Linked DNA regions of Drosophila melanogaster. The protein of the gene in region 3 interacts with the protein of the main gene of each other region in a pairwise test. Each region holds a gene or a part of one and is shown on either strand. Other genes may lie near its edges.

Region 1 (8,363 bases), on a different chromosome or scaffold from region 3:
CCTGGGCGCAGGGAGCTCAGTTGGCCAACTAGCGCACCGGTTAAACGGGTCAATTAATTAGTGGGCAGCGTGCCAAGAACCAGTTGCCAGCGATGAGTTTACACGGACTGCTTCGATTAGTATTATTACAACTATTTCGCTCAGTGCTGTTGCACTGCCCACTCTGTTGCAATCTTGTCACATTGCGTGCCACATAGTATCTATTTGGACTGTTTTGCAATGAAGTTCGCTGCCTCTGGGCAAGATAAGAGTGCTCGGATAGCCCGTGGGCTGGGTGAGGCCACCTCTTATGACAGCTTCCAAACGCTATTTAATTACTCAGGTGCAGCGCAGCAACAACAGCAACGGCAACAGCAACAAGCGCAGCAGCAGCAACATCTACAGCAGCAGCAACATCCAACAGCAGGCAGCTCAAATTAGTTGAACTACCAATTGTCTACAAATATTTAGCAAATGTTTTCTCAACCTAACAGATACACACCACCACACACACACACACACACACACTTAGCACTCCCCCCCTTAACGACCCCACTGCCACCGCGTTTAACCCATCACCATTCGCAGCACCAGCACCTTCGCTTTGTCTGGCCTGGTAATTTAATGCAAATAAATTTTATTTACCAAAACATACATCAAAATGTCTGCGCCGCCACACGCCCCCTCGAAGGCACCACCCCCCCTCGCCAACGTTGCTGTGTTGCATGTGTGTATTTAGTACAGCGTATGCACGTTAGATGGCGTGCAGAATGCAAATATTATTTTAGCTTTTGACTCTTTCGGCTTGGAGCCTTGCAAATGGTGTTAAAACGCATGCAAACGGCCCCCTTAACCCCTCGCTGCCCACTTATCGACAGCACCGGGTCTTCCTTAACCCTCTTCTCGCTTTTCGCCAACCAGCAGCCGTCTGTCAACGTTTAAATTGCTGCCGTTGCTGTTGAAAATTGCGTGTTTTGGGTGGGCGTTGCTGACATGCCACACCCACCGTTTTGGCCAGGTTTTCTCGCCCTCTCTCTTTCGCTCTCTTGCCATAAAGCATAGTGTGCATGTGTGTGTGTGCCTGGCTCTATGTATTTATGCAATGACTCCCAAGTTGTTGCTCGTTTGTTCAGCTTGAAAATTAATTTCTATAATGGCTGCCAAGAATTGCAGCTGCAATGCGTGGTGGCTGAGTAACAGGGGCCGTCGAGGGGTTAAAGGGGGCAAAAATGGGTGGCATGTGCAGCATACGTGACTCGACTGCGCTTGCAATTAGTTAAATTATGAAGGCACAAAGGGAATTCCCCATATTGCAACACGAAGATGCTAATCAAATGGCAGGGCAAAAAACCATACAACTTCAAGCCGACTGACTATGTGTGTGTGTGTGTGTGTTCCCTCTAATCGATGGTAGCTTAATTTAATAGTCCATGAAGTAGCCGACAAACGGTAGCCAAAAGATACAACCTGTATCTACCAGTTAAGCATTTGCCGAAGGCACTAAGTACCTAACACTTGACATAATGCCGCAGAAGATAGCGGCGCAGGTCAGAAGGGAAACCCTCCGGAAAAACAGGGGATCATCAGTCCACAGAAGACAGCAACCTGCTGCGCTAATGAGACACGCTGAACACAGGAACCAGAAACTGAAACCGAGACTGAGGGCCAGAAAACAACACAAAATAAAAAAACAGCTGCCAAATGATACGAAACGAAACGAAATGAAATGAAATGAAGTTGTTCGACTGTATTTTATACACATGCAGCAGTTGACAGCCAAATGACAAAATAAGCGGCAAATGTTTGGAATAGTTTATTCATCTCGGCATCTTTATAGGGAAGGAACGAAAGATAGCTCAAGTGGTTGATGAAGGGCGGTGAATTGATGGCCCACATCGAGATTGATTTATATCGATTTGTTGAACAGTTCCCTTTTGAAATATTTTGGAATTTATGAAAGCACTTTTAGAGATGCAGTTCTGGAATTTCATGTATTAATAGTTTGAATGAGGCGGTAATATGGTAATACTCGAACTAACCTACTTTAAAGCCCAAATTTCCTAATACAACACCCCATTTGAAGCCCTTTTTTTCAAAACACAGCCGACAGCTTTATAAAACAATGCTTTGTAGTGGCAAGAAAAACCCGAGCATATGCAGCAAAAACAGGAACAATAGTTGCTGTTCTGCATATAAAAAGCAAATTTACACTTTTTTGCCCACCGTTTTTGCACCGCCCTTTCCGAGTTTTTCGAATGTGTTTGAGCAACTTTAAGGAGCGGAAACGCAGAGTTCGCGATGGCCGAGTAAAGTTCACATGTCAGTCCGGCATCAAAGTGTGACTTGTCGAGTGTTTTCCCCGATTTTCCACCAGTTTTTCCCTACGACCCGCGGTGCTTTTTGTCCAGGAAATGCAGGCAAAGTGTGAACTGTGCATGCAGATAGAGATCGCCCAGTTAAACAGCCAGACTCGCTTCAATTAGTCTGGCTGGTCGGTTAGACAGTCCGCTTTTTACGCGCTTATTATTAGATTTTCCAATTCGGGAACGGTAATGGGGGGCTGGCTGGCTGTCAGACCGGAAAACACCGAAAAACGCCGCTGGCCAGCGAGTGCAATGAATAATCAGACGTGGCCAATTGAGTCAAATCAGAACCGACGCGACTATCATCAGCCATCAGCCATCATCATCATCATCATCATCAAATAATGGGCCCAGCGCAATCAGGCAGTTTTCATTGTTTTATTTAAGGCCCCGCAATAATTGCCACGCACTTTGACTACAAACTGCAGTCACGATCACTTCCATTCCATAGCCATGATGACGATGACGACGAGGTGGCCATGATGGAGCACCCGCAGCTCGCGTCCGACCAGGAGCGGAGAGTCACCATCGATGCCAATTAAGGCGAGGGGCGGCAGTTAATTGAATTAAAATGCGACACAAAATGGTGTAGATAAAGTTGCCACCGCACATGGGGCATAAAACAATGAGGGGTGGGGTGGGTGGTTTGAAATTCCTCCATTAAATAAATCGTTTTTGAATACACATCGCTGGCTGCTAATGGGGAATTTGCTCCCAAGCGGAATTCGCGTATTTCTATTGTTCACGGGTTCAGAAGTTCATGTTTATGGGTTTACAGTTAATTATAAATAAATATATGAAATGTAACTATATATACACTCATATTTACTTTGATGTTAAGGCTCTAAATTGAAAATATTTTCGAAAGAGAGTTGAGGTTGTTTTTATTTTTTTTGAAGTAAACCTTTTGAGTTCTATATTCTCTCCTATATATATTTTTATTTTCCCATTATTTAATTATGCCCATGCTGAATCCTCCATTGCAAATGAGTTTAAAATATCGCTTAGGACAGGACAGTTAAGCACATGTAACAGATAAGGTTTATCATTTCCCCTCTAGGAAGTACAAAAACCGAAAACAAGCTGACAAAAACCCCACAAAGAACTGGATAACGACACTTACCTCCACCGAATCCTGCTCCCGGAAACATGCCAGGCGGTCCGAAGGGCGGCATTTGTCTGGTTCCTGGCCACGGAACTCCACCGCCCATTCCCGTCCAGGCCACCGCCGCGGCGGCCAGTGCACTGAAGGGGGTCGGGCGGATGGGCACATGACCGGAGGCCAGGGCCGCCGGGGAAAGTATCGTGGATTGCATGTGAGAGCCCGGCGGCGGACCGTGCGGCGATTCCAGCGACTTGCCGCTGCCGTCGAGGCCGTCGGGCGTGGAGCGCGGCGAGTCGTCGGCGTTCATGTCCTCGATATCCACAATGGAGTCCTCCTCCTCGTCGTGATCGGCCTCGTGGTCCTGCAGCATCTCCTCGTCGTACTCCAGCTCGGAGTCCGTGTGGCTGCCCAGCGGCGAATGGCGTTCATTTTTGGCGGGAGTGGAGGCCACATTGCCCTGCGATCCCAGTGCGGATCCCAGTGGCGTGGAGCTGGGCGTGGAACTCGTGGAGGCGGGTGGCGAGTTGGCCCGGGCGTCCGCCTGCTGCTGCTGTTGGCGCAGCTGGGCGGCCATCGCCTGGTGCTGGGCATGTGCCGCCGCAGCCGCGTGGGCGGCCTGCAGCAAGTGGGCGTGGTGCGCGACGGCGGCGGGATGGAAGGTGTTGGCGGGAACTTGGGCGGCCGCACTGGCCGGCGGAGGCGGCGGCGTGCTGCTGGCCTGGGAGATGGGCGAGGTGGCCGCCGAACTGGTCAGGTTCTGGGGTCCATCCGCCGCCTGGTTGGGTGGCGTTCTGGGCCTCGTGTCCGCCAGGAGAGAGGCCACACTAAAGTTGCTCAGTCGGGAGGTGGTCTTGTGCAGATGGTGGGCCGGCGGATGCACTGCGGCCAGCTGGAGCGCCGCCGCCTGCTGCTGCTGTTGCTGCTGCTGCTGGTGTTGCTGGTGCTGCTGCAGCAGATGCTGCTGATGGGCCAGCAGCAGTGCCGACGGCGAGGTGGGACTGGCCAGGGCATTCAGGCCAGCCGGGTGGCTAGGACTCAGGTTGGTCAGGTTGCTGCTGGTCATGTTGCCGCTGCTCATGTTGCTGCCGCTGTTGCTGCCGCTGTTGCTACTGCTGCTGGTGATGATGAGGTTACCCGCGGGAGTGTTACTGCTCGGCGGCACCGTGGGACTGGTCATCGTCTGGCGCAGACCTGTAACTGTCATGCTCGCTGGGCTGAGCTTTAACATAAAGCCTTTCGATCGTTTGTGTAACTGTGGCTCGTTAATACTGTGCTTTAGGTGCGCCGGTTAATTGGTTCATTGAGACATGGTCTGCTGTTAATTTGTTTTGATTATCTTTCAATTAATGCGCTCGTTCGTCACACGCTTGGGAAACACAGACACACACTGTCACACGCGGCGTTTTGTATCTTTTCAGGGGCTATTTATTTCCAGAGAGAGACACGTCCTCTTGAGATCACGTCTGTTCTGCGACTGAAACTGTGGTCGCAGTTTCGGATGCACCGCTGCCTGCCACACAGATACTCACTCACACCGACGCACTCGACGATTGGTGGTGGGAAACCGGCTGTGTAGAGCGTGCCTCTCTCTCACTCCCGTGGTGGAGTGCACCGCGTGCGACACCATTTTTATTGGTTTCGAGACTAGCTCGCTCGCTCTTTTTTTCCGGTGTGAGTCTTGTATTTCTCCACTTTTCTGACTTTTGTTCCGCCTTCTTTTCTCTTTCGCTCTCGCTTCAGTGTGGTGAGTTTGCCGCACTCTTGCCGTACAGACAGAGATGGTGTAGCTGCCCCGCAGTATAGCCGTCCCTGTCGCACGCCTAATTATTATTGAATAATTCAATCTTCAAAGCGTTTTTCCACTTTTTTTTCGAGCTGCTGCGCGTATTAGCATTTTATAACAAGCAGCGGCGGCAAACGCCTGTCCATTTCCACTTTGGTTTTCTGGCTTTTCCTTCCATCTCCATTTTCCCTCTATCTCCCTCTTTATCGTTTATGACTTCATTTGGCCAAATTGGCGTGATTTTTTAAGCTTTATGTACGCCTAATATGTACATATATATGTATGTATATATAGACCAGGCGGTTTTTCAATTTTAATTGGCACTCCTACATGTCCTTAGCGTACAAGAACAATATAATAAATAATAAGCCCATCATTATCAGGGCCCCAAAAGCATCAAATGTCGGGTGGAGCGGCATTATCGCAAAGCTGCAATCTCGGTCAGGAAATTATGTTTTTTCTTCCCTTTTGCTCCACCTCAGGAGATAAGCCATAAAAATCGGATCGGTCCACATAAATCGAACGTCCCGGGAACCCGGCCGAATCAATCACATACATATAAATGTGAAATATGCAGGATTATATAGAATTTTGCCAACCCCCATAAGCTCCATAAATTGCAAGGTTGGCGGGTGGAGTGAGGGAGGGAGCGGGAATACCGCACCCTTTATAATTCTCGCTCTACAAATTAAACTCATTTTAAGGATTATTATGTGAAATTGTTGGCTTGAAAACTTTTGCCAGCCATTGTTCAGCTGCTCCTTTGTTTTCCGCTGCTCGAAGGACCAAGTTGTGAAAATGGGAAATGGGCGTCGGATTGTGCGGGTTCGCTCGGCTTTTCGGGCGGCAAGTTGGTGAAAGGATTTTAATGACAATTGCCAGTGGGTGGAAAATAAAGAGCTCAATTAGAACAGTTGACGAATGGCTGTGTGGTTGCCTTAATTAGTTGCAAACGATGCTGAAAATGAAACGACTCTGCATGATTGGGGAAATTCTAGCCAATTAATTTGAGTTCTTGCCTAAATGGGTTGGGTGAAATTTAGAAATATTTTTATATAATTTCTGAACTTTTTTCAAACTCTTTCCGAAATCGTTTTTAATTACACTTAAAAGAAACCAAGACAGTAAACTCGTTTATGAACTTCTCACATTTCCCAGCCATTCAATTAACACTTGATATACCTCTTACCACTTTTCCAACGCCCCTCTTGACTGATTAAAATTTTTCCAACTTCCCAAAACTTGAGCTCTTCATTACGATGCCCGGCAATTCCGCTTTCTTTTCAATTAAACATTTCGAAATGGCGGCAAAATGCGATGAGAGGCCCCTCAGCTCGTTAATATCATTGTCTGCGTCTCGTTTTCTATACTTTGTGCCGTTGGCATAAACAATTATAGCCAATTACAAATATTAATTTCTCAGGCCAAGCACGTCGAGCGTTTCTTCTTTTATTTTCCACTACTTAACCACCATCATTATTCATTGCGCTTTGAAATACGCAAATGAGCGCCGAAAAAAAGCAATACAACAACGAGGCGCAAATTAATTTTTCAATAAACATCATAAGCGAGCTCCAGCCCCCTCCACTCCCCCCACCTATTCTCGATCCCACCACTTCGAGATGAAACGAAACCGGCAAAAGCAGCAGCAAGTCGGCCAATAACAAAAGCACCAACAAAGTCCACGCTTCGGCCAAGTTGGTCATTTGATAAATGGCCGCCGATTTGCGTGCGTGCAGTGATGACTGCGATAGATTTTAAAAACTAGCTAATAAAATATTAAAAAATATATTAAAAAAATATTCACCTTATGTGACTAGAAATGTGCAATTTATGTTTGCCCAATAAAGTTGTTATGTCTTGCAGTGAAACAACAAACAAGAAATATTATGTTCACTTTGAAATAACTTCAGAAATATGCTTTAGAACAGATTCTGTTAATTTTTGAAAACTTTTAACTGAAACATATTGAAAACTAGCTAGGTTTGGCTAATAAAAAGCCTGCTGCCCAACACTAAGTGCGTGGATCGAAAAGATCACGTCGTTTTCCTCACTTTCCTTCCCCGCAACGAGCGTATGTAAATGTTTTGATAGTTTTTCATAATTTTTCGAATTTATATATCCCGCCGACCGATTCCGATTCCAGTTTGATTGTAGAAGCTATGGCTGCGGAATGAGAGGTGGGGCTATTTGGACGTATATATGTAGTTGGCCATGATTGAGTGGGTGTGTGTGTTTGTGTGTGGGTGTTGCATATTTATGTGGGTTGCCGCTTTGCTTTGTGTGCCTTTTTTGTCAGGCAATTAAATGAGAATTTGGTGTTTTATTGTGCAATTAATTCCGAATTGAATTGCATAATTGTTTGTATCCGAGAGTGAGCAATTACCCAGTCGGCAAATTGTTTATTATACCAGCTGGAAACGAGAACAGCGCTAGATTCTGTTTTATTAATGGAATGATCAAATTTAATAGTTTCTTTTACTCGTATTCAAACTAAAGGCACTAAGTCATTAACATTTTAAGCACTCTTCTAATTAAATAACTCAGAAAGAGATACAGCTGCACAAACATCCTTTTCCAACGATAATTAGCAGCTCGCCGAATTTAATTCCGTTCCCCAATTTTCAAAGGACCTCCTAAACGACGCTAATTTCATAGCGACCCAGCCAGCAATCCGCCCCACAGAGGGCGGCACTGTGCCAGGACAACCAGCCAAGCGGCGCATAATCAAAATTTCATTATCCTTGCGATGCGTTAAATCGCTTAAACAGGCCGAAAAAGCGAAAAGAGCGAGAGAGCCAACCAAGCCACCCAAGCCACCCCAGCCACCCACTCCACCCACAGAAATAACCTTAGCGGACCAGCAAACAGTTGACATGTTGACAGTTCAGAAATTTCCGAAGGACGCAGGACGAGGCTGTTGCGAAACTCGGCTCAATAAACGCCACAGCACAGGACGAAAAGAGATGGTGGATCCTGGGGATGCGATGCTTTTCGAGGGGTTGTTCGCCGAGTAAATAAACCATCCCCTTGCAAAACCCTGCGGTTGTCAGTCAGTCATTTAGTCACAGCGGCTGTTGTGGCAATTGCGGCTGCCTCACACAGATACACACCCATACAGGGCCATTCCACT
Region 2 (8,615 bases), on a different chromosome or scaffold from region 3:
TTGCTTACCGTTCACAAAACACATTAGCTTGCTTACCGAAATTCCACTAAAGTCCCAAAATCTCACATTTCCGCAGACCCAATAATCCTTTGCTTTATTAAGTCATATTTCAACATGAAGTTGATCATATTTATCCAGGTGCCCGCCACAATAATTTGCCAGTGAGTCCGTAAATCATCTCCCTAACCATCGATATAACCCACTTAAAACCGCAAATGTGCATTGCCCCATTGCATTGGCCGTTTTGGAGCAAGAGATTTACCCATGGCAACTGGGCGTATACTTGATGATGTTATGACATGTTCGCCTTTAAAGCCCCCACAAAAATGTTATTTAGGTACAAAATAGCGCAAAATTGCCAGGGCACTTGGAATACACCTATATATTTATGTGAAGTTACAAATATTAATAGTTAAACGAAGACTGAAAAAAATAATGACAATAATTCGCCACAAAATGCACCTGCAGGCTAAGCACTCAGCGGAGTTTTTGGTTTCGTTTTCCATTTGGTATTAGTTTTATTTTTGTTTCTGTTTTTGTTTTCAGTTAGCCAGGGGAAGTCACCATTTTTTGGGCAAGGCAAAAAGTGGGCATCGAAAGTGAAGTTTATAAAAAAGGGTTGGCGAATCCCAAAATGCAATTTATGCAAATGAGCCGAGAGGCGCCGTTGCAAATGCGGCAGCAATAGAAGAAGTAAAAAGGTAAGAAACAATGCAAAGTGCCGCATGCTAATTGAAATTTACAGGGGGGAGTTGGGGCGAATTTTCGTTTATTTTTTTCCGCAGCAAAATCAAAGCCTAAATAGCAATCAAAAAGAGCAAAAATTCCTTAAATTAAACTCACGAACTGGCGGGCGCAACGATGCGAAAATGATACATGCATTAAGGCCCAGCCAAGTTGACTTGGCCAAAACGAAGCGAATTTGGCTCGGCACATTTAGAATATCATCGCAGTGCAACTACTACGACCACAACAATAAATAATAGACAAAAGGCAGAGAGACAAAAGCAAGGAGTGCCGATTCCAAAGTCGACTTCGACGGAGACTGCGACTTTGGCTTGGCTTGGCTTGGCATGTCATGCTTAATACAGCCAATAAAACCGCCAGAGACAACAACAGCAACAATGGCAATCGAATCGCTTTGGAAGCAGCCCAAGAACAACAACCAAGGCACAGCAACAATATCGGCGATAGCAGCAACAACTAGGAGACTCCAACGCTAAGCTGTTTGCATGCACTTTTTGGGGCCACCAGCAGGTCAGCCAACAGCAGCAGCACCACTAGCCCCACTAGCACCACTGGAACCACCACCACCACCTCCACCTCTGCCACCACCATAATCGCCAAAGGAACAGCGACAGCACCATCGACAACAGCAAGAAAGCTGGCCGAAACAGTGGCTTAGAGTCCATATGATTTGGAGGCGGTTTCTAGAAAGCTTAATACGCCATGGAACTACTAAAACTCTGACCATTAACATCCACTAATGAGTAACGTGGATATTTCCATTTCTCATATTACAATGAAATGAATATAGAAATGCCACTAAAGCTGCTTTTAAGATTATAGATATAGATTATAACAAAAATAGATAAAGATCGGGAATAAACGGAGTAATAACTAGGAACACTACTCATTACCTCTAGTGGTAGTACCACATTATCCTAGAAACTACTTCTTTAATAGCCATGGAGAGGCATCATCCTTTTACGAGTGATCCACAGCCACTGTGCTGAATGCACATGGTGCCTGCCACAGACCAGTTCCACTTGCGTCGCTCCCAAATCCAACTACAATAATATATATGTACATGGGAAGCCACACCACAGAGCGGCACATTACAGCACACCGCACCCCGGAGCCACAATGGGCCGCAGTGTGAGCCGGACCCAGAGCCGCGAGACCCGGGCAAAAGCATTATGGGAAAAAATGTAGCCGAAAACGAAAGGAAGAGCCACTGCGCCCAGAAAGCCAAGTCGCTCGGCTCTGTCGCGGTCGACGCAGCAGTCGGCCGGCCGACTCAGCGATCTCACGTTTTGTCTGCGGCTTCCACATGGAGAGGCCCAAGTGCACAGCCCGCGATCTCCGGTTCGTACGCTAACAACAGTTAGAAAACGTGGCTTGGAACCTGTCTAAAAATAGCCACAGCGAATGCAGTCCAGCACACGAGCGGCCGACATGCCGACAAGCCGACAAGCCGAATGAAAACGAAACCTTAAACGCCAGAAGACGTCGCCGCCGCAAAGACGAGTCTGCGGATCCCGAAGATTTGGATTTGGGTTCGGGTGCCGAGCGCCAAGACTCTCACTCTCTGTGCAGTCGACGCTGGCAGCGCGGTCGACGCCGCGTCTTCGGGTTTACCGTTCTCTAGTCGTGTGTCGCCGATCTTGGGAGAGAAGATTTGTACTGGCTTTGCGTTATTATTGTTTTCCTCGTTGTTGTTTACGAGCTGCAAACGCCGGTGTCAATGGTAAAGTGCATTAATATTCCCGCTTTTCCGACGGCTCGCGGGGCGGGAAAATCGCTCGGATCGTGTTATTGCCAGTTATATCGGCCAAATGATTTGTGGCGCAGCTTATTTATATTTGGGGATGAGGAAAGAGTGATCTGGTTTATGAAGTGGCAGGATGGTATTTTGTTAAGTGGAAAAGCGAAATTGGCCTGGGATCTTGTGTGAAATCGATTTGTCTTAGCACTTGGAGTGAAATAGGGAATAAAAGCGGGTAACTGAGATAAATATAAAATCGTGATTTAAGTTGAAAGGAAAACCAGACTCATTTCTAGGCTAAAAGTCCGTTTTGCATATCAATTTCAATTTGAAATATTTATAGCATAATTATAAATTATATTATATAGCATAAATATAAACCAAATTCAAAAGTAGTAAATCACTATAAATAGAATATTGAATTCTTGCCATATGATACTTGTTATTCTTTTCGAAATTTCTATCTTCCTATTTAACATGATAGCTTTACTTTTCCACCCACGCTCACCATCATGGGATTGACTCACATAAACATATTCCTCGAAATCTGGTCCATTTTCCTTTGCTTTGAATACACCCACACACACGAGAGCAAGGAAGTCCTTTCCACCAAAACGACACCACAGAATGCCCACACAGACTTAGTACACTGAGAAGAATATGTAGTTTAAGACAAACAATAAAAAAACAAACAACATTAAAAACATGCTTTTTATAAATGCATTAGAGTACAGTCTACACATGGAAAAGAGATTGATATTTAAAGACAAGTGTGTAGATGATGTACAATGTGCATAAGGGAATATTCCTACAAATTGTACGTCCTTATATATCCTGAAATTAATAAACATGTTTCCTGTGTACGATAACTGAGAGAAACGGAAGTTTTGGCAGCAGGCGAGAAGTGGATACCCAGTGGGCGGTTGGAAAAGCGGAAAAGTGGGTGGCGGAGTGGTAAGCCGGAGCAGGTGAAACGGCACCAAGAGCCCCAATCAATCTCAGATGCGAGCAAAAGGGATGGCCAACGTCGGTTTTATGACGCACATAATTTCCGCTTCCGAACTGTCCCACTGGACTGCATTCGGAAAATCGGTCGCTGAAAATGGGTGGAGGGGATTTTCCGGCGCAGGCGCTCTGCCAACGACGTCATCGATTTTCCTCGCACGAGCTGCGCTCAGTTGTTGGCCCCAAATGACGTAATAGCCGGGCCGCAAAGGTAGGTCGTGTCCCGCTCGCTTGCCGTCGCCCCTCCCTCTCCATCGCACACTCACTCTCGCTCTCACTCGCTCTCGCGAGCGCAGCACGGCGCCAGCTGAGGCAGCGCTGTCGACGCGACGCGTTGAATATAGTCGCGTGTAACCGTAAAGATAAGTTCAGTCGCGTCACAGACGCCGCATTGTTAACAACTTTAGCCCAAACAGCCACCGCTCACGGAAAAGCCAATACAAAATATAGAACTTATATCGAGGCGAGCTCGATGGTTCTGAATTTCCGATCTTAAGTCAGCCAACTAAGACTTTAATCCACACAACTATATAAACATCGCGTTCAGTATTAACGAAACACAAAGCCAACATAGGTGTGAGTGCTCAAGAGTTAAACAATTGCAACAAGTTGTTGTTCTTTATCGATTCGTGCATTCGTTCTATGCGGAAACGGAAGCCGGTCGACAGCGCGGCGTATGCGTAATAACTTCCAACGGTTGACAACGCGGCGTATACTTCACCTTTACCTTTCTTAAGCGAACAATGCATATATTTCGGTGGGCAACGCTGCGTATGTTTGTTTAATCTATCTTACCCCGCTGCGAATGTGCAGTAAATTAATCTATAGTAATTCAAATTTCGTTTCATTTCTGAGAGACAAGACACAGATATTTTTGAACTGAAAGTTTTGCTAACATTTTAACGAGCACGTGAGCTGAAGAACAGTAGTAATTGTTTTTGTGTTGCCCATTGCGCGCGTGTGTGTATCAGTGTGTAAAGTGTAAGCAACGTCCTTGTGCCTCCCACTACTGCAACTACCACAACCGAATATATATGTATATGTATATAGAGACCCCAGTTGATATAGTATAGCGTGCGTAAGTCGTTACGTCGCTTACATCGTCACTTGGCCACTGCGCAAACGCCGGAAAAAAGGAAAGGCAACAAGAAAAAAGCCAAAAAAAAAAGGAGGCAAGTTCAAGTCTAAGGACACACAACAAAAACAACAGCCGGGCAAGGACAGAAAAATGAAGCCCGATAATAACTACTGCAATCAGAGCTACTGCGACAAAAGCTTCGGCCACTCCTGCCGCAGCCAAGAAAATTGAGGCAAAATCCCAGCCCAACTCGGAACAGTCGTGCTGGATCACCAGCGCCGCTCGGGGCGCCAAACAGGTGCCTATTTAGAAACCATATAGTGTGTGATCTGTGTTGTCCCGTCCTGTGTGCGTTTTATGTTTGTGTCCCATCATCACCATCAACATCATTGTTAATTTTGGGTTCTTTAACGGAGAATCGTGGTCTATGATGCGCGATCGGCTTGCCTCGCTGATTGTGGTGAAGCAAGAGGGCGGCAGCAACACGAGCATTAGCCACCACCAGGCAACGGCCATTAAGTGCGAGGCCTCACTGTACACCGAGAGCAGTTTGTTCCAGGAGATCAACAACAACTCCTGCTACAGACAGAACCTCAATGCCCCGACACACCAGCAGTCACACACATCACACCTGCAACACGCACAGCAGCACCAAACACACCAGCAACATCCCCTCTTGCCGCCGCCTCTGCCGACTCTGCCTTTGATTTACCCCTGCCGCAACCTCTTTCCCGACGGTTGCGATATCAATCACCTGGCCTGCTGCAGTTCCTCCAACTCCAACTCCAACTGCAACTCAGACTCGAACTCCACCTCCAGCTCACCCGGCAACAGCCACTTTTTTGCCAATGGAAACACATGTATGTATTTGGTTTTCCCTTTCGGCTTATCGGTGTTGGTGACTTTTTCGTTTTTTGTTTTTTTGTATTTTCCAAACTCAAACGCCGCTGTGGTGTTTTCTTCTAATTCGCTAATAGCACACGCGGCGTATACGCAATGTGCAGCGCGCATTGCCAAATCGGCCAAGAAGCTAACTGTTTGCTCAATCCGTTTGAGAAGGCAGGTCGGGAAAAAATCTGAAAAATGCAACTTGAATAAAAAAGGGGGCGTGGCTGGTGGGGGTAGGTTGGACAACGCACAATGACGACATAAATTTGCATGAAAACTGCTCAAAATGCATCATAAAAATGGTGAAAATATTAAGCTTCCATTCGCAAAATACGAGAGCAACCACAGTAGAGGTCAAGAAAATGAGGCAGAGAACTTTAAAAATTCTTGGATTATGATTCAAAAATGATTTAACAATTAAAAAGTTTAAGCATTTGGAGTACTATTAAAGGCAGCTCTAAAAATGTTCGGTATAGTTTTTTTTTAAGCACATCAGAATTAGTTTCAAGCTATCATTTGCATTAAAAATTGTATGCTATGAAATTTAGTGCATTAATAAAATTAATTGTATAGTTACATCAGAATTAGTTTCAAGCTATCATTTGCATTAAAAATTGTATGCTATGAAATTTAGTGCATTTGCATAAAATTAATTGAGGCAACTATACCGAACTGTAAAGACGGGCTTAAATCAATTACCACCACTTTGACCTTAGTTGTGTGTGCAGACCCGTCTTGGCTCTCGGTGAGCATGTGCTGCTGTTTTTGGTGTCGTACACATGTTTACCAGCGTCAGCAAAGCGCCGCAGTTTCAGCAGACGGCAGCGGACGCAGCCTGACGCAAAATGATTTACAAGCTGCACAATAAACACCGCACACAGATGCAGTGCGTCCGATTTCCACACAGATACTCACTATCGACGGCTAGGGATGGCCAATGCATTTTTATTAATAACCGCATAAAAAAAACATCGCCGATTGAAGCTCAAGCATGGGAAAGATAGATCGATCATTTCATTGCCGAGTGGGTGGTTGGTTCGGTGGGTGGTGTTAGGGCGCCCGGCGGTGGGGCATCCGATTATTGGGCTTACTAAACGGCTTGAAAGGCTTTGCCAATTCATTCGCTGCGGCAAAGTCGGTTAGCCACTTGTTAGCCGCTTCTTAAGCGACTGTATTTTGCGGCTAACTTAGCGCCCATTAAGTGTTTCCCAGCAATCAGCTTTTAAGCACTCTGCGGTTAGCGTTTTCAACTGCAAGTGGGCCATGTGAGCCTTCAATTCACAGGAATCTACTATATGCACATTCTAAATTGATTTAATTGTCAATATTACAGAATGATTATCATGCGCTACATATGGATAGGTATCCTTTCGATAGTCTTCGGATAGGTTTTTTGAAACAACTACCCAAGTAGAAAATTAGTTTCTATGGTGAAATGCAGTTAAACACTAAACCGAGGGTTGCCAATCGATTGCAGAAGTGAAAATGCAGGGCGAAATGCACTAGACTCAGTTGACTATTAGACGTGGCAAAACAAACATCTATATTTATAAGTTGGCTATATAGTACCATAATGGCGATGGGCGCCAAAAGTGCCCGACATCGGATGACAAACCAGAGCAAAACAAATCGCCGAAGAACATATGACCAGGTGAGGTGCATCCACTAGTTGTGGTATATAGTATTTAAGCCATGACGCCAGCGGGGCCATGAAATCGGCCAGTTTAACGGATTAGGCGGCACACAGTTTTCACATTACGGGTGTTTTCCCGAGGCACGAGTGCTGAAAACGTCATCGTCGCGCCGAAAACGAAAATATATGACGAAACCGTGAAAAGATTGCACTCTCTTTGCGTCAGCTGCATCCCTAAATGTGTATCTATTTATATATATATATATATATCTCATAATTGGTTCGATTTTATTTTCATTATATTTATGGCTGGCCACGTGCTGATGACGTCTTATTTCGGGGATGAGTTGGCTGTATGCCTGCAGTATTATCACAAGTCAGCGTATTTCTTATTCCTACGACTAGTCACATTTCGATTTTGTTTTTAGTTGTGTTTTTGTTCGATGCTCACGGCGGGGCGTGTGAAAACACTGTTGCTTTTACTCTTTTCTTTCCGATTTGCCTTGATTGCTCATACGCCCCGTTCAACATGGCAACATCTCTTGGGCGTAGCCAATTGCATTTCAACATGGCCCAAAGCGACCCGGCAAAAGGTCCGCCCGAGCCGCACATATATAGACGTTCGATGCACTTGGCCAGGGATCGAGATGATCGCGGCTTCCCTTACTGATTAACCCCAGCGAAACGAGCTTGATAAATGATGCAAAACACAAAATACCTAACTACTCACATATCTATGACACCCGAAAAAATTTAGATACAAAATATATCGTAGCCCCTTCATTGTGTAGTTATTCACGATCCGTCGTGCGTTGTGAGTTATCTCCGCGGCAGCTGTCGGGATGGCCATTGTTGATTGTTGCCTCTTTTGGCCATTCCTCATACTCGTAGAGACACTCCACACCGCTGCGAAAATGTAAACCATCCCCGCTCACACCACCCTGCACACCGGTTTCCCCGGAGCAGCTTCATCTGCCAAGACCAGTAGTCACCTTCCAAGTTTCGTTTTCTTTGGCCAAACACATGAGCAAACATACACAGACGGTGGCACAGGTGGATCGAAAGGCGTTAGTCGGATAGCCCACTAACATGGTTAGGATCTGAACATTTTTCCATGTCCACGAGCTCTTTGTTCTTCGGTTGGGCTGAGCTAATGCCCGATTCGATGGGCATTTAGTTCCGCTAATAGTGGACTTAGAACAAGAAAATAAAAGTAGTTTACAAAAGCAATACCAAATAGTAAAATGATGTGATATCCATTAGATACTTAACCCAAAGCCCGCTTAACAAATCGAAATCACCTGTCCAACTCCATTAAACAGTCATCAATTCGGCTTGAAATACTTCTGCCTGTCATAATCGCAATCTTAAAATGTAAATCCATCTGCAACCTATGTATCTCAACTATCTCTGAATCAGCTCGTCTCGCACTTTTGCTATTCATTTTCGCACTGTGCGAATGAGTAAAAACCACAAAAGTGAATTTGTTAATTTGTGTTTTTGAGGTGATTTTTGCTTTGTCT
Region 3 (8,484 bases):
ACTAGAGCTGCAGCCGGAAGTCTCGGTGCCAGGGACATTATGCAAAACTATTCGAATGAGCTAGACCTCTTCAGAGTTCATTTCGGCGTTGTCTTTGTGAATCTAACCGCCAACGAAATAGTCATAAAGAACGCCAAGCACGTTTTTTAATGGCCAGCGACATACAACTGTAAAACCGAAAAGTAATAGGTGGAGTACAGCCGGTGAATGTACCGTTAGGTTAATAAAAAGCCATTTTGTCATAGTCAAATTACGAGTGGCCGGCAAATTGGGGGATTACGTATTCATGGCGCGTAAATGAGCATAATTTGATTTCCAGTTCTAAAGAGAGGGGCCTAAACAAATAGTTTGACAGCTCCAACACCCCCTTTCCTATTGTAACAGCCAACTCTTTTATCTTTCGATCAATGATCATCAATGCACTGACAGAAATTGGTTCTTAACGTATTTGTGTAAATAACAGATATTTAATGCTTATGTTACATTCAGAGAACTACTGTGTGTATATATTATCTAATATTATCAATTTAGAGTTGGCTGATACTTTTTCGCAGAGTGCTCAATGTCACACTCTATGCACTGCAGACAATAACAACAATGTGGGCATTTACAGCTAAACACGATAGTGTCAAGGCAGCAACAACAAAGGCGACAAAGGCAACAAAACAACAACATTGACACAGAACCTGTCGCATCAAAGTTCAACGTCAAGTGAGGTTCGTAACTCGGCTTCGGCATTCAACTTCGGCTTGACATCGGCTTCGGCTTCGAGCTGTGCGCATGCGCATGTGCTCTCTCCTCTCTCCGCAGTGCGTATGTGTATGCATGTGTGTGTGTGTGTGCGCGCTTTGGTTATAACGCGCTTGAGTAGGTCGGTCATTGAACTTGTTTTCTTTTCATCTGCTGCTGCGCTACCACTTCTTTCGCTCCATTCTTTTGCTTGGCCACACTTTCTTCCTGGTTCGCTCTTTCTTTCTACCTGTATATCCCACCTGTGCGTCGGCGTTCTCTTTGCCGCCTCTCTTAAGCCTCTTATTAGTTTTGTATGTTACCTGGGAAGCTGCCGCGGATGACTTGGCAGCTCCACCTCTTCCTCAGCCTCATCCTCTTGTGCGTGGCAAGTGGCCAAGGCAGCAACAATTTCAAACGAAGATGCAGCTCCAGCAGAAAGCAAAAGGCAGGAAGAACCGCCCAAGGTAAGACCACGAGCGAGTCAATAACCCTGGCTCAAGCAAATAAAAAAAGCTGGCCAAGAGTAAGAGTGATTTGATTCCCTTTTCATCAGGCCTTAGAAGTGGCAGAGAACCGGACATAAGAACACCGGAGAAAAAACTTATAACTGATATTTGATTTGTTATATACTAGAAATCTAGCCATAATTGAATTTTTTTTAGCTGAATATGCTTTTAAGAATCCTAACTCCATTTCCGATGCTATTTGATTTTTTAACTTCATTTATTTTAAATGGAGCACTTGTTAAGCTCTTGTTTCCAGTGCAGAAGCAGAAGAACTTGCTGAGTGCAAGAACCTTTGGCTTGCTTCAGTTGAGCACGCCATGTGCCCATGAGCATTTGCCAGTTGAACGCCCTTTTCACGGCAAATGATTCCCAATGTGCGATGCCTGTACCATTGGGGGTGATCCGGGGATCCGGGAATCAGGAGGAGGTGGCTGAGATAGAGGAGCTGGCTGTTGCAACCTGCCCCAAACTCAAACCGTGCCCCTGGCCCAAGGATGAGCCGATCTGAACTTGTTTCCCCTCCTGGTCATTGGCTTCTTCTTCTGCTGCTGCGGCTGCTGCTGCTGCTAGCTGAAGCGGCAGATTCACTTTTCGAGGGGGGGATTTGCGGAGGGGATTCTCTAATTCTTGGCCTAGGTCCTTGGCCTCTCCCTAACGCTCTGTCTCGCTTACGCGCACAGCATCTTCTGTTGCTCGAAATGAAAACGAAAACCGAACGAAGGCAAGTTTGTTGCCTAAGTCATTTGTTATGTGGGGTGGGGGCATAGAATGTGTGTATGTTTGCGGCTGACAGTCAATGAACTCTCGGCATGCGTGCCAAAAAAAGAAACAGCAACAACAACAAATGAAGAAGAGGGAAAAGCCATAGAGGAATCAAAAGAATTGCTTTCATACACAAACTTAGACGGCGAGCTCATTTAAATTGCAAAATGAAGCAAGCTGTTTCCAAGCTATATAAGCAATATATGGGCGGATAGAGATATAACTCATTTCGAATGCCATTTGGAATCAAGTCAGGAGGGAAGACTGACAGCTCTGTGGGAGCAGGTGGCCAACGACAGAACTTGGACAGCTGCAGCTGCTAATGACCTTGATATTGAAATGATCATCGTGTGATTTTGAATCGCATTACAAATTCGCAATAAGTTTTGATTTCATTCGATCGGCTTGTCGTTGTGTTGTTCATTCATCTCTTCTCATTTCGATTTCGATTTCAATTTATTTGTTTATACAATATTTTATTGCCACTGCTGCTGGCGTTGTTGCTTTTATCGCCGTCTGTTGGAGCGTGTTAGCGTGCGATCAGTTGTCGAGTCATTTAAAGTCAAAGTCAAGGTTTTTCTGCCTTACGTCGCCAATTATCTGTCGCCATCTCGCTCCATCTGCTATCCAGCCTATAATTTGCTCTCTGTCCCTCCGTCGGCGTATATTTACCCCCATTTTGTTGTTTGTGCGATTTGTTTAAGCCCAAACTGGTTTTGTCTAATTATTTGTGTTGTGAGTGCTATATTGTTGTTTTTGCTGATGTGATTATTAAAATATATATTTTATATATATATATATATATATTTTTTTTGTTTATATAGGGACAGGAGATTGGCGTAGCTTTATACATGATTTTTCTAATGAAATGTCAGTCCCCATCATTCTGCCATCTCCCATTTGCGGCTAAGAAATTTTAGCTGCTTATGCCATTTTTCTATCCTGCCTGTAATTAATCATCATACCATTTTTTATCCGCTTTTTTGGGCATTTTGCTGAAAACTTGTTCTCGCCCAGTGCGACGTACTATTATATAACCTTTCTATCGAAAACTTATGATTAGCATAAATTGTATGTGAAAGTCTTCGTCGTGGTGTTAAGAATAATAAGATGTTGCTGGCTGCTGCTGTGTAACATCATGGTTAATTTTAAACGCTAGTCATAAATTATGATGGCTTTAATGTGAGATTTAGTGAAGAAAAAGTTGAAAATCAGGAATAGAACCCAAGCAATTAAGATGTCAATAAAAAAGTTGAAATAAAGAAAAATTATCTAAGAATAAATTAAAAGAGAAGTTTTGAAAAAAGTTCTAACTGGAAATTAGAAATTACCTAAGAACTGATTTGAAAGAAAAGATTTAATTACCAGTGGCCAGTATGATTTATTATGCAATTTATGGGAAAAGAACAATTTGTATTCATTCTCATTCTGTTATGACCGCCTTCCAAAAAAAAAACCCGCTCTAAAATTTCCTGAAGCTTCTCCAACGAAGACAGTCTTCTGAAGAAAGCTTTCTTTACAGAACTTTCGGGAACTGCTTCAAACTAGACAATTTCAATCTGTAAACTTAGACCCATAAAAACCCTTCATCGAATTCTATTAGCAAGCTCAATCGTTAGCTTGTCAGCTATATAATTGACTTGGAGCAATAAAAAGGCAGCTAGGAAAAGTTACGAAGTTTATATAAGGTAAATCATTTAGAAATACTTACCATGTTCAGTGTTTAAATGCATATCCGTTCCGTGTTGTTGAGGTTGCTGCTAATGTTGCGGGTAAATTTAAATCCATTACGCAATAAATCCAATCCGAAGCCGAAAAGTGCTTGCTGGCTATTTAAGTTTCGATCATAATAGACACTTTGTTATTCTTAAACTTTTCGAATATAGTTGAGCAAACTATATTTTTGATACACAAGTGCACTGGTTGGGGAATTGAACTAATTGGCTTAGGTCTAGTGGAATTTCATTTGCATAACTAGGGGCAGTCTTATGTGTATGTCACTTTTTGTCAGTTTAGCTGATAGACACAAATCACTTTGAATTGGGAATTGTAGCTTCTAGATACACTTAGTTTCAGAACTTTTTGTGGGTGGGTGTATGTTGCAAAGTCTGGTGGATCAGTGGTCTTTTTGCTGTCTTGAAGCAAGTAGAAGCGTAACGCGTGCGTCTTACGAAATCATGTCTCGATCGTTTTGTTGCTTACGGGAAACTGAAACTACGGATGAGTCGCGGTGCGACTTCAATGTCGATGTCGTTAGAGGCTTCTGAAGGCAGAGCAGCGGCAGCGCGTCGACTGCGCAGACAGATAGACTTTTCAGCATTTCATTACACGGCCTTACGCACACACTCGCACGCCCAGCACTCTCTTCTTTCTCTTCAAACACACCAGCGTATAGCAGCACACACCAACACACAGGTAGGGCGCAGCTCAGGTGTCTCAGGTTCTTGATCGCAGTGCCATTTACACTGATCACAACCACATCTCGGCGCTCTCTCAGCTCTCTGCCCCTCTCTTTCTCTTTCACCCTATCCGTCTCTTTCACTCGCGCGCACTGAGCGCAACAGGCCAGAACTTTCATTCAAGGTGAGCGCGCGGGCGCAGGTATCTCTTTGGCAGCACCAATACCCTGGCAAATACCGCCACTCTTTTTCGCACAAAATATGTAGTTCTAAACTCTTCTAACACACAAAAATAAAAAAATTATACAATATTTTTAAAGCAATATCGATGATCATATAGTAATCTTAAAAGCAGCAATATTATAAAAAGTACTAGAATTTAAATTAAATGACGGGATTAGAGACCGTACTTTTGAAACTAAAGTTCGTATTCAAGCTTTTTAATTTTCGGATATGTAAGTTGTAAAAATGTTTAACCTTGTTTTGAAAAGAAATGAATGAATGAAGTATACGCCTACTTGTAATTTTAAGTAAAATAAGAAACCATTACAAATATTTCCAGCCTAATCCGTACTTCTTTAAGTCGAGCTGAGCTTTTTATAAGAGACTGCGATGATTTTATTTTCAGTGTACCCGCAGTCTGGCCAGCGAGCGTAAATTGAGCATGCGAGCGTAAAATTACAACACCACTCTTCTAACAAGTTTAGAATCGGCGCAAGCCAAGCGCAACAAAATGCCGTCCGTGGGCCACTTGTTCTCAATGCTCTTAACCCGTTTGGTGGGGGCTCTCTCTCTCTTGGCCAGAAGTTTGGCACGGCATGTAATTGGTTTGTTCATGATTTGTTTCTGTTTCAGTTTTATTTCTGTTCCTGTTTTTTTTTTTTTGGGTATCAAATTTCATGATGCCATAATTGCATGCAAACAATTGGCAAACAAATGTCGCGCTCGCAAAATGGGAAGTGAGAGCTTTTTTGCATCACTTTACAAGGTAATTTATCATTGTGATGGATTACTTAATTTCGGTTCTTAACTTTATGCAATACTTCTAAGCAGCTCTCCAGTGAATGGTGAAACAACTTCGATTTCATACAGATTTCTTTACATGTATTTCCCAATTCGTAATATTATTCAAAAAATGAGTTTAGTTAAAAGTAAAAGTATAACTTTGAAAGCTCCTTTAGATCAATGGACATCTGTGCATAAACGCCAGTCATTCCATGACTCAATCTCTGAACCATTAATGATCTAATCGAACTCTATAAAATTGCGCTATAAATAAAGTGTAAATCACTTACTCAGAGACCACATTTTGAGTAGATACCAACTTCCTCTCCATCAAGCCTCTAGCCGCAGTCGTAAAAATGGGTGAGCATATCGTCAAAAACCTGGATGGTTAATAAATATATAATTAGTGGGAAAAAACACTTAACATTCCGTAAATGGGTATTGCCATTCTATTAAAGTCTGCCAAGACAAATTGAAAAACGAGCATTTACATAATTTAAGTGTAATTGACCACGTGGTGTAATCAATATTTTAGCTGGCCAAGCCAACCTTGAACTTAACGCCCGATGAAAAGACAAAAGACGGAGGATAGGATGCGAATCAAAAGGTAAATCCGCATCCGTTTTGTGGCCGGGAATAAAGGCCTAACTCATTAGTTTCTGCCACACTCGACTGCCGCTGCCATCATTCTCTATAAATAACAATTGAAGCATTCAAAGTTGGCTTGGAAAAAAGCGAAAGACTCTGTGCGGCAACTGGGATTAGAACCTTTTTTGTTTAGCCATTAGAACTCTTTTGGCTGAAAGCAAAAACCCGACGCGATGGGGTCAATAAATTCTTAAACACCACACGAGCATGAACATAATTTTAATAGTTAATACATCATCACTCATTTGGCCGTGGAGGAAAACAGTTTTTTAAGCGCTCGAAAAAATAAAAGTGTTCTAGGCAGACGGCTTAAATATATAATAAATCATCATCATCATGGCATTAGGCTGAAAGTGTAAATAAATACGAATATATATATAGGTGCGGTAATTAAATGTGTAATCTACGCTTAGTTGGGGAAAGGAACGCGCTTTCAAGTTCAACACATTCAGCTAATTTGAATATCAATTTATTAATGGGAATAGCTTCTTCTTTTTAATCGTGCATCATTAATTTTTAGACGTCCAGAAAAGGAAAGAACTTTCAACTAAACGAATAAACAAAAGTGATTCTCGAAAATTGTTAGCATAAAACTATTGCGTCTTAGGGAATGGAATCCCGATCGACAACAAATTCCGCGTATCCCATAATTGAAAGTTGAGAAATGGAAGAGGAAGCATTCTCTTTTAAATAAATATGAATTCGTTTGGGGCTAAAAGCAAAAGCCTCTGGCCAACAACAAGTGCCTTTTAGGCGGTTGTATTATTTAACACCCAAAAGAAGAAAAAAAAAAACACGAATACGTACGGGGTTTACCCTCACAAAGTTAATGTGAGAGACATACGGGTATATGCGTAGGCCCAAAAAGCCGGCATCTACAGCTGGCTTGTTGGCCCGGCTTCTTGGCCAACTCATCATCGTTTTGCCCGCTTTTGATGGCTCTTTCTGGCCGTTCCCGCCCTTCCCTCTCAGTTTTTGGGCGCAACAATCATTTCTTTCTTTACATTTCATTTCGTTTTTTGGTTAGCCAAGTTTATTTCAAGCTCACGCACACGCACGCAGTTGGCCAGGTTCATTGACTTCTTACCAAAAAATAAAAGGGGGAAAAGGAACAACAATTTTTGTATCTTTCGGTTTCTGTTTCGGACTCTGTCGCGTTCTTTGGTTCTTCTTCGTGGCCGCATTGTGTTCTTGTTGTTTTCGTTTTTTATACATTTCGTTTTCATTGCTGGAGTTCATTGGCCATCAGTTTCAGCACCATCCAAGCCAAAGAAGGTGCTGGCCGCACTTCAACAACTAAATGATGGCTGAAATGAAAAGGCCCAGGAAAGTTACCAGTGGTAGCAACATACATACATACATAAGTACATAAATATATGTATTCATTATTTATTACATTGGTTATCGGTTTTGCTTTATTTTTTGGCAAGAAAAAGAAATTCTTCCACTTGCCTCCTTTCCCGAATTTTGTTTTGCATATTTCTCATCGGCCCGTTTCGAGTTTGTCGCCTGAGTCTTTTGTTTTTTCGGGCGCTGTGATTGATTACCGGGATTAAGGCATAATAATTCGAAAATTATTTTGCATGACACAACATCAAAAACTAGTTAATTTATTGTATTCAATCTTCACGCAATGGCGGTGCAGAAATCGTGGAAAAAAGGCTAAGGTAGTTAAGAATAATTGGACACTGAGCTGCGGTTGCGCAACTCAATTCGATTTGCATTTTTGTTGGCAATTAATTCCTCCTAATTGTTGGTAATTATGCTTTAGTCAGGGTAGAAATAATGAAGGTCATTGGCTGTCATTTATTTTTAACGCTTAATGTGATAATGCATACTAAGAATTAAACACAGTTGTTAAGAGAAGAATCAGTATAAGTCCGTTTTTTGAATCATATCAGCATTCTCTTTAGTTAACTTTTTTGAAACTTTAATCAAAAAATGCAACAATCAATCAGGAGTCCCAGAAGGACTCAAGTCCCCAATCAATCTTAACCCAAATCTCATAAAGACCTCCGATTGTTTGTTTGTACGGTCTTTTGGTCGTTTTGTTTGCTTGGTCACTCAACAAATTAAGGAGTTCGCCTCAGCTTGCCACTTGTTGTCAGCTGCTACTAACAACAACAATCTCAGATCTTGCCATTAATTACCGCTCTGTTGGCAAAAAAAAAAAAAAAAAACACTTTTTTTGGCCTTCCCAGTGGGTAAGTAGTTCAACTGCTGCTGGTAATGTTGCAGCTGCTTCTGTTGCTATTTCAACTGCTATTGCTGTTGCTGATGTGAGAACTTGACTCTGGGCCCACGCCAATAGAACACCAGAATACGCCAACTAAAGCTCGCCTTCTTAACTGTTCCTCAGTCTCCACAGCAGCCGAATGGTGGCCAACAAGTGCACTGAGAGAAAGCAATCTTAAAATCAAGAATTTGCAACC
Region 4 (7,554 bases), on a different chromosome or scaffold from region 3:
TACCGTACAGACCGCTAACAAGCAGGAATCTCAGGAAGTCCTTACTCTCAAGACATCCCTTGCACATCTGAAGTCCAAGGTGTGTGAACTGCAGAAAAAACTTGAAAAGCAGTCAGAGGACGAAAAAATATCCGAACTGCAGTCGGATATTGGAGAAATAAGCGAGTGTTGCTTATCCATGGAACTGAAGCTAGCAGACATTGTAAATTGGCAGGCGGAGGAGTTGCGCCCTCTAGATCAGCTTCAAGAAAGCGGTGTCGAACTGCAGCACCATAGTACCACAGCTGAAGAATCTCTAAATGTTGAGAAGCCTATCCAGGAACAAACTGAACGAACTCTTACCACCGAATATGAACGCCGAATCGAGCAACTTGAAGAATCATTACAAAGGGCACAAGAGGAATTAAGTATTCTGGAGAAGCGAAAGACAGATGAGAACAAAAGCCTTCAGCTTGAGTACATGGCGAAAATTGAGACGAGCGAGAATGAAAACCGCTCCAAATTCCGTGCATACTGCCTGGATTTAAAGGAAACCCAGAAACGCTACGAAGAGCAGCTACAGCAGACCAATGAAAAGCTCGCCAGTGTTACGACTCAGTGTCAGGTGCATTTGGATGTCATTAAAAGATCTCTTCAAGAAAAGATTACTCAGGCCGAGAAGGAAAGAAACGAATTGGCTGTCCGACACAAGGCAGAGCTTGAAAAAATCAGGGAAACGCTGAAGGAGAAGGAATCTTCTTACAAGGAGAAACTAAGGCAAGCGGAGGAGGAGCGCGATAAGGAAATTTCTAGGCTTGAGGTGATGCGAAACACAATAGCAGAGCTGCATAAAACGAATTCTGATCGGGAAGTGGAACTCGAGGGAGTGAAAATGGAAAAATGCCAACTTAAGAAGCTGTACGACAAAAGCATGTTGGAGCTAGAACAACTGCAATGCACTGCCGACCAGAAAAGTTCGGATTTGCTGCCAGGCTCGTCGAACGAGAACATCGATGACCTGCAAAAGAAGTGCGATCAATATGTTCAGGATTTGGAGCTGTTGAGGGGCGAGAAAGCAGAACTGCTATCGGAGATCCAGAAAATCAACGGACAGCACTCGAATACCATAAAAAAACTTGAGGAAATCGAAGCGGAAATGATTACACTAACCACTCAAAAGGAGTTGGAGAGGTGTGAAATTGCAGAAAAGCTGGAGACTTTCAAGTCCAAGGAGGCAGATATCAAAGAAGCTCTGCACTGTGCCCAGCTCAGGCTTCATGCCTACGATAAGCTGGTGTGCGAGTACGAGCGGCTAAAAGGCTGTCTTTCGGATTCAAATAAGTTGTCGGAAAATCTGCAGAAGAAAGTGGAGCGTTTGCATGCTGAACAGCTTGCTTTACAAGAAGGAATTTCCGGCCGAGATTCAGAGATTAAACAGCTTCGCTCTGAGCTCAAGGACGCCATTGATGAAAATAAAACAGTGAGAGAAGCAAAAGTAGGCCTGGAAAATAGTCTTAAAGCAGTACAGGAAAATATGTCTGCCCAGGAAGGTCAGTTTAAACAAAAGATTGCTGATATTAAGGGTTCAGTAGACGAGCTTCAGATTAAACTAAAATCTCTGCAAGAAGTAAGAGACCATCTAGAGTCTAGAAATGAAGAGCTTAAAAGAAAGCTAAAAGATGCTCAGGAACTACAGAACATGGTGGATAAGGAGCGAAAGCTCAATTCCTCTCTACGAGAAGATTTTGACAAACTGGAACAAACCAAACTCGATCTCGAAGAGCAGCTTCGAGCCAAGAAAGTAGAAATCGATCGCCGATCCAAGGAGCTTGGCGAAGTGACCAAGGATTGCGAAAATATACGATCCGATCTGGTAAGTTTTATTTATTTAACGCCTTCACTTTTGTATTCTATTATATTTTATTCTATACCAGGAAGCTCAAACTAATGATTTCCTAAAAGAAAGGGAAACTTTGAACTTGACTATATCCGATCTTCGGTTGCATAATGAGCAATTGCTAGAAACCTCGAAAAATTATCTATCAGACATAACAGCAGCAAATAATTTAAATCTCGAAATGAAGAAGAATCTTCACGATCTCACAAAAGAGTGCAAGAGCTTACGTTCCGATCTGGTAATAATTAATCTGGTAATCTATCTGGTTGATTACAATATAGGTAATTAAAATTTTTCAGCAATCCAAAGAAGAATATTTCCAAACGCAAAAGCAACTGTTGGATGAAACAATTTCTAATCTAAAGGAGGAAAACCGCAAGATGGAGGAAAAGTTGAGTTCGGGTAACAAGGCGCTCAAAGAGGATTGCGAAAAGCTCCGTTCAACATTGGTAATATTAGACTTGTCTTTGTAGGTTATTCGGTCGCTAATGAAATATTTATTTAGGAATCAAAGGAACTTATACTGCAACAGAATAAACAAGAGTTAGAGGAAAGGCTGACTGTTATTAATGAGAAGAATGGGAAAAACGCACTACTTGACGCCCAGTTGAAATCCAATGAAACCGCCTTTACATCACTGCGAAAGGCATGGATTAAGCAAAGTTTAGCCATAGAAGCGGCCAATAAAAGAAGCCTCGAGATGGAACAGAAGGTTGATAAACGTACGAGGGAGTACGAAGAACTACGATCAACTCTGGTAGAATAATTGCAATCAAAGGCTCTTATAAAATAGCTTAATGTTTTCTCTTTAAATCGCCTAGAAAACCAGGGAAATCAACTTTCGATCGGAGAAGGAACGCATGGACGGCACCATCTCTAGCCTGTTAGAAGACAAGCGTAATCTTGAGGAGAAGTTGTGCACAGTCACCGAGCTCCTGGCTAAGCTAAAGCGCGAACTGCCGGCTTTACACACGCAAAAAGTGAACGGAGGCGATGTGTCCATTGAGTTGAATTCCTCGAATGGATCGCCGACTCCTGCAGCTGTTCCAGCAACAAAGAAGCCCCTGGACTGCAATTCCGCTGAATGTGTGCCAAAGGTACGTATGATCTTCTAAATTTCAAGCATGTAATATTTTTTTTATTTCTCTCGTAAAGAAATCCAGCAGCCTAGAGACTGCGGAGCGGAAGAATCGACGGATGACGGCCTACGATGAGAACCGTAAGCAGTTTTGCTGAAACGACTTACGTGACGGCGGAACTACGACCGTTCCTTTAGGTAAGTTAAGGTTTGCTTGGCCGCGAAATCGTCTAAACTTTATGTGGTTTTAACTAATATTGCAGGTGGCAATTGCCACTGCGAGCAGCGGAGCTGCAAACAAAGACTGAGTTCGGACTGGAGGCAAAACGTTGAGTTCAACGATGATAAAAAAGATGATTAATGTTATCCAAGTATTAGGGATTTCTTTTGTTAGGTGTTATCTTGCAAACGGTGGAATTCCACATCATAAAGTTTTCTATTTATATTTACGCCCTAAGTATTTGTCAAATACTATCAATACAAAAATTACAAAAACAATCGTGATCGTAGTATTTAAATTTAAATCTGTATTATGCTGGTTTTTGTTTAATAGTTAAATTCGATAAATAGTTAAATATTGTTAATTAAGAAATGTTTCCTTCATCATGTGTAATAATATTTGGTTCATATGTATAGCATTGAATAAACTATTTACATTTTCTTAATGTTAAAATCAGATTCGCATAAGTTGCTGGTTCTAATAATAAAAGACATAAATTACTTAAATGTAAATCTAAATAAGCATAACGCTTCTTGTTTGAATTCCCGATTGCACCAATCGATAAGTCGATAGTAGCGCAAATACATATTCTAGTGTTGTGCATTGGAAAATTGACGGCCGCTTGAGTGTTGTGTACGGCGTCAGTGTTGAATAGCTGCGGACGCAAAACTACGTAAAATTACGACAAAAAAACAGCGCCCCGCGAAAAAAGGCCATGAACTCGGCAATCAAGGTAGGTTCAGCCGCTCCACCACATCCGCCGGCAGCTCCGACCGCGTTGATCCCGTCGCCAGCGCCTCCGCGCGTTGCAAGCGAGAAAAAGGCGGCGCGGGAGAGAGTCGAGAGTCATTCGTTTGTCTCACTCCTGCGAGTGGGAAATTTGTTGTTCCACCGTGAGTGGGCCGGCGGGCGGTGGGCAGGGGCGGTGCGTTTGTTTTGAATTTGCACGCGGTAACAACAAACTGACTCCGGATGCAAATCCGCATGCACTTGCAGGTGGGGGAGATATTCACGGCCGCCGGACAGGCGTTCAGCAGACTGGGCGATCTAACCATGCAGCTGCATCCCAATGCGGAGTCGCCATCGGGGTAAGTTGATTCTATGCGGTGGAGTCGCGAGTTTTGTGGACACTAATCGGAGTGTTTCTGTGTGCCTTGTTCCCTCGCCACGGCTGCAGGAAGTGGACGGACGAGGAGATCGACATGCTGCACTCGTCCATAATGCGCTTCTCCGACGACCTGACCAAGATCAGCCTAAGCATCAAGAACCGCACCGTGTAAGTGATCCTGTGCTCCTGGCGAGGGAACCGGCTGCCCAGTGTGTACGTGCTAGTTTTAATTGACCTTCCCCATTGCAGTTCTCAGATCCGCCAGGCGCTGAAGAAGAAGGCCTTCGAGGACGCCGGCATTCCCGCCAAGCAAGTGCCCGTCCAGCAGGTGCAACACGTTCTCCAGACGCTGCCACAACAGCAGCCGCAGCAGCCCCTTCAGCAGCCACCTCCTCAAGTATTCAAGTCACAGCCAATCGTGCAGCACGTACAGCTGGTGGCGCAGCCAAAGCAGATCATCCTGCATCCACAGTCTAATACAACTACGACGGGCACGACGGTGACTGTTAAGCAGTACCAGCAGATGCAGAAGGCTGCGGCATTAGCGGCAGCCCAGGCTGCAGCCTCGACGGCCAACAACACGCCCACCATCACGGAGAACATCATTATCCAGCAGCCCACTTCGACTACGGCGACAGTGGTGCAGCAGCCACATATGGTGTCCACCTGCTCGTCGACGCAGATCGTGGTGCCCGTTGTGTCGGCAGTGTCCACTGTTCCAACAGTACTCTCGCCCACGGTGGTGATTGCCGACGATGTGGTTAGCACCTCCAATCCTCCAGCGGCAGCGGCGACAGTAGGATCGCCAGCAGGGGCGCCAGCAGGCTTAAAGTGCGGACCAGACGTGTCCATGACCCTCAATCGCATCAATGTCCAGGAGAACGAGGTGGACGTGGAGGAGTGCCTGCCCGCAGAGGTGGTCAAGCTGGATTTTGTCAGCGAGGAGGTGGCCGGGTGAGGTTCGAGCCCTCGGAACGGGCTGGACTTCTTCTACTAGATCTCCGGCCGCAGAACGAATCACGTAACTTGGAACAGAACCGCTACAAATCCAGATCGAGAACTCTTAAGCAAAAAGGTTGAGATGCCGCCCTAGCCCTAAGTCTAAACTGTTAAGTGTTGTCATATTTGATATACCCTGAAATCACCTTGTTCCGGGCCCCGGATGACAAATGAATTGTGCGATGTGGAGGACGAGTCTGTGGATCGCCAGCCACAGAGCGTAGATATTAATTGCGGAGCGTATATGCGCCGCCTAGACTTAAATTTACGCAAGACACAATAGTGCAAAGTACATAACGACGATCGTGTAAGTTGAGAGTGAATAAACGAGCATTATTTTAAGATTCGGCGATCTCTGGGATTTTATTGGAGTTAGGAAAGCCCAAGGAGCGTAGAAATTTAGTTATTTGCAATGGCTTCTACAATCTCATTGCTGTAATTTGTACTTCATACTTTTATTTTGATCAGACTGTATTATAAAAGCATATATATAATTATATTTTTAAAGCACCCAATGCAAACTCAATTGTGTTTCTAATGGTCCGCTAAATTATATTGCATTTTATCTTTATTTGAATGTACCCATCCAATTTATGGGACCTATTTTATAAACCTTTCCTTTTAAATGCACACCACGTATTTTAAATTCATCCAATTATTGTACAATGAAGTCTCGAGAAATTTCGAATGCATTTTCAAATTTCGTTCTGCTCATAATTGCGCTCGCAACCCATACATTGCCATTCGCATGTCGGATTTCAAATCCGCACTTTCAGAATTTCCAAAGCGGGTAGCAAGAAGAAGAGCGGCTAATAAAGATACGGATACATCAACAACAACAGTCGGAAATCCATTGTTCCCCACAAAATGAGACTTCGTTTGCAAGTCCTGGTGGCCCTGTTAACCTGCTCGTCCATTTCCGTCTCACTGGCCTACAAACCGGTGGTCATACTCCATGGAATTCTATCAGGAGCCGAATCGATGGCCTCTCTGGTCCGGGAAATCGAAGAGGTTTGTTTTTCGATTCCCCTTTGTTATTGTTTACAGTGGCAAGGTCGAATTTGACGCAAACAACGCAGTAGCACTGATAAACTCATTTCGTCCGTTTGTAGTTTCATCCTGGCACTATCGTCTACAACTGCGACAAGTTCAATGGATGGTACAGCTTGGAGAACGCCTGGCGACAGGTCGATCAGGTTAGGGATTATCTCAACGAGGTGGGCAAACTGCATCCAGAGGGCATCATTGTGCTGGGTAAGGCAGCCGATTTTCATTAGAGTATTTTCTTTTAGTTACCAATACTATGCCTTTTTCAGGATACTCACAAGGAGGCCTTTTGGCCCGGGCGGCCATCCAAAGTCTGCCCGAGCACAATGTGAAGACCTTTATATCTCTATCCTCGCCACAGGCGGGGCAATACGGCAGTAAGTGAGATCAAAGTTTAAACCAATGAGTAAATTCTATTTATATAGATGCATAACTGCGTCACATTTTTCCGGGCTAAACTCTTTTAAAGCTTACAAGAAACAAATATATTATGTAACTGTGTTCAAAAATTACGCAGTTGGGTTATAAAACAAAGGGGGATCACAATGGTTCAAGTTTTTATTTTTTGGTAATATTTTCAGCTAGCTTCTTGCATCTAATCTTTCCCGACTTGGCGGCCAAGACAGCCTTCGAATTGTTCTACTCGCGCGTGGGACAGCACACCTCGGTTGGTGGCTACTGGAACGATCCGCAGAGGCAGGATCTCTACCTGAAGTACAGCGAATTCCTGCCACTGATCAATAATGAGAAGAAGACCTCCAACTCCACATCTTTTAAGATGGGAATGGTGCGTCTAAATAAGTTGGTAATGATCGGCGGACCCAACGACGATGTGATTACTCCGTGGCAATCGAGGTATGGTTTACTTAGTCGGATATTATCAAAGGTGAAATAACCACAAATCGTATATATTTCCTCAGCCACTTTGGTTACTTTGACGAGAATATGGATGTGATTCCATTTATTAGGCGACCGATTTTCACCAGCGACTCCATTGGCATCAGGACGCTTCAGGAGGCCGGCAAGCTTATCATTGTGGTCAAACCCCATGTTCATCATCTTGCCTGGCACACGCGAAGGGATGTCATCCACGAAGTGATATTTCCATATCTGGACTGAATAAGAAACCAAAACTACTGAACTATACTGAGCGATCAAACGGCTGTGATCGGAAAGGCGGACAAAGGCTCACTCTCATCAATAAGCATTAATGTGAAGTTGCTGCC

The links.
Region 1: the proteins of Blimp-1 (region 3) and Dr interact in a two-hybrid assay, tested with the Drosophila melanogaster proteins (one large-scale study listed by BioGRID).
Region 2: the proteins of Blimp-1 (region 3) and Hr38 interact in a two-hybrid assay, tested with the Drosophila melanogaster proteins (one large-scale study listed by BioGRID).
Region 4: the proteins of Blimp-1 (region 3) and CG33695 interact in a two-hybrid assay, tested with the Drosophila melanogaster proteins (one large-scale study listed by BioGRID).

Annotation. Positions count from the first base shown.
Region 1 is NT_033777.3:29,552,948-29,561,310, reverse strand, and holds the start of Dr (drop), read right to left. Parts: upstream 4,926-8,363; 5' UTR 4,676-4,925; coding exon 3,466-4,675; intron 1-3,465. UniProt on the Drosophila melanogaster protein: Plays a key role in the specification of proneural and promuscular cluster formation. Required for the specification of dorsal and lateral muscle progenitor cells. Regulates development of peripheral nervous system derived from lateral neuroblasts.
Region 2 is NT_033779.5:20,709,853-20,718,467, reverse strand, and holds the start of Hr38 (hormone receptor-like in 38), read left to right. Parts: upstream 1-3,879; 5' UTR 3,880-4,998; coding exon 4,999-5,431; intron 5,432-6,167; exon of another isoform or gene 6,168-7,266; intron 7,267-7,461; exon of another isoform or gene 7,462-8,372; intron 8,373-8,615. UniProt on the Drosophila melanogaster protein: Binds to NGFI-B response elements. Plays an important role in late stages of epidermal metamorphosis.
Region 3 is NT_037436.4:5,626,709-5,635,192, reverse strand, and holds the start of Blimp-1 (Blimp-1), read right to left. Parts: upstream 4,211-8,484; 5' UTR 3,712-4,210; intron 1-3,711.
Region 4 is NT_033779.5:11,274,224-11,281,777, forward strand, and holds CG33695 (uncharacterized protein), read left to right. Parts: upstream 1-3,797; 5' UTR 3,798-3,889; coding exon 3,890-3,907; intron 3,908-3,927; exon of another isoform or gene 3,928-4,146; coding exon of another isoform or gene 4,147-4,170; coding exon 4,171-4,262; intron 4,263-4,351; coding exon 4,352-4,450; intron 4,451-4,531; coding exon 4,532-5,240; 3' UTR 5,241-5,624; downstream 5,625-7,554. Other genes in the region: cana (CENP-ana), read left to right, coding at 1-1,852, 1,914-2,114, 2,176-2,325, 2,382-2,633, 2,698-2,973, 3,032-3,112; Ppt2 (Palmitoyl-protein thioesterase 2), read left to right, coding at 6,149-6,292, 6,394-6,535, 6,598-6,705, 6,910-7,183, 7,249-7,447.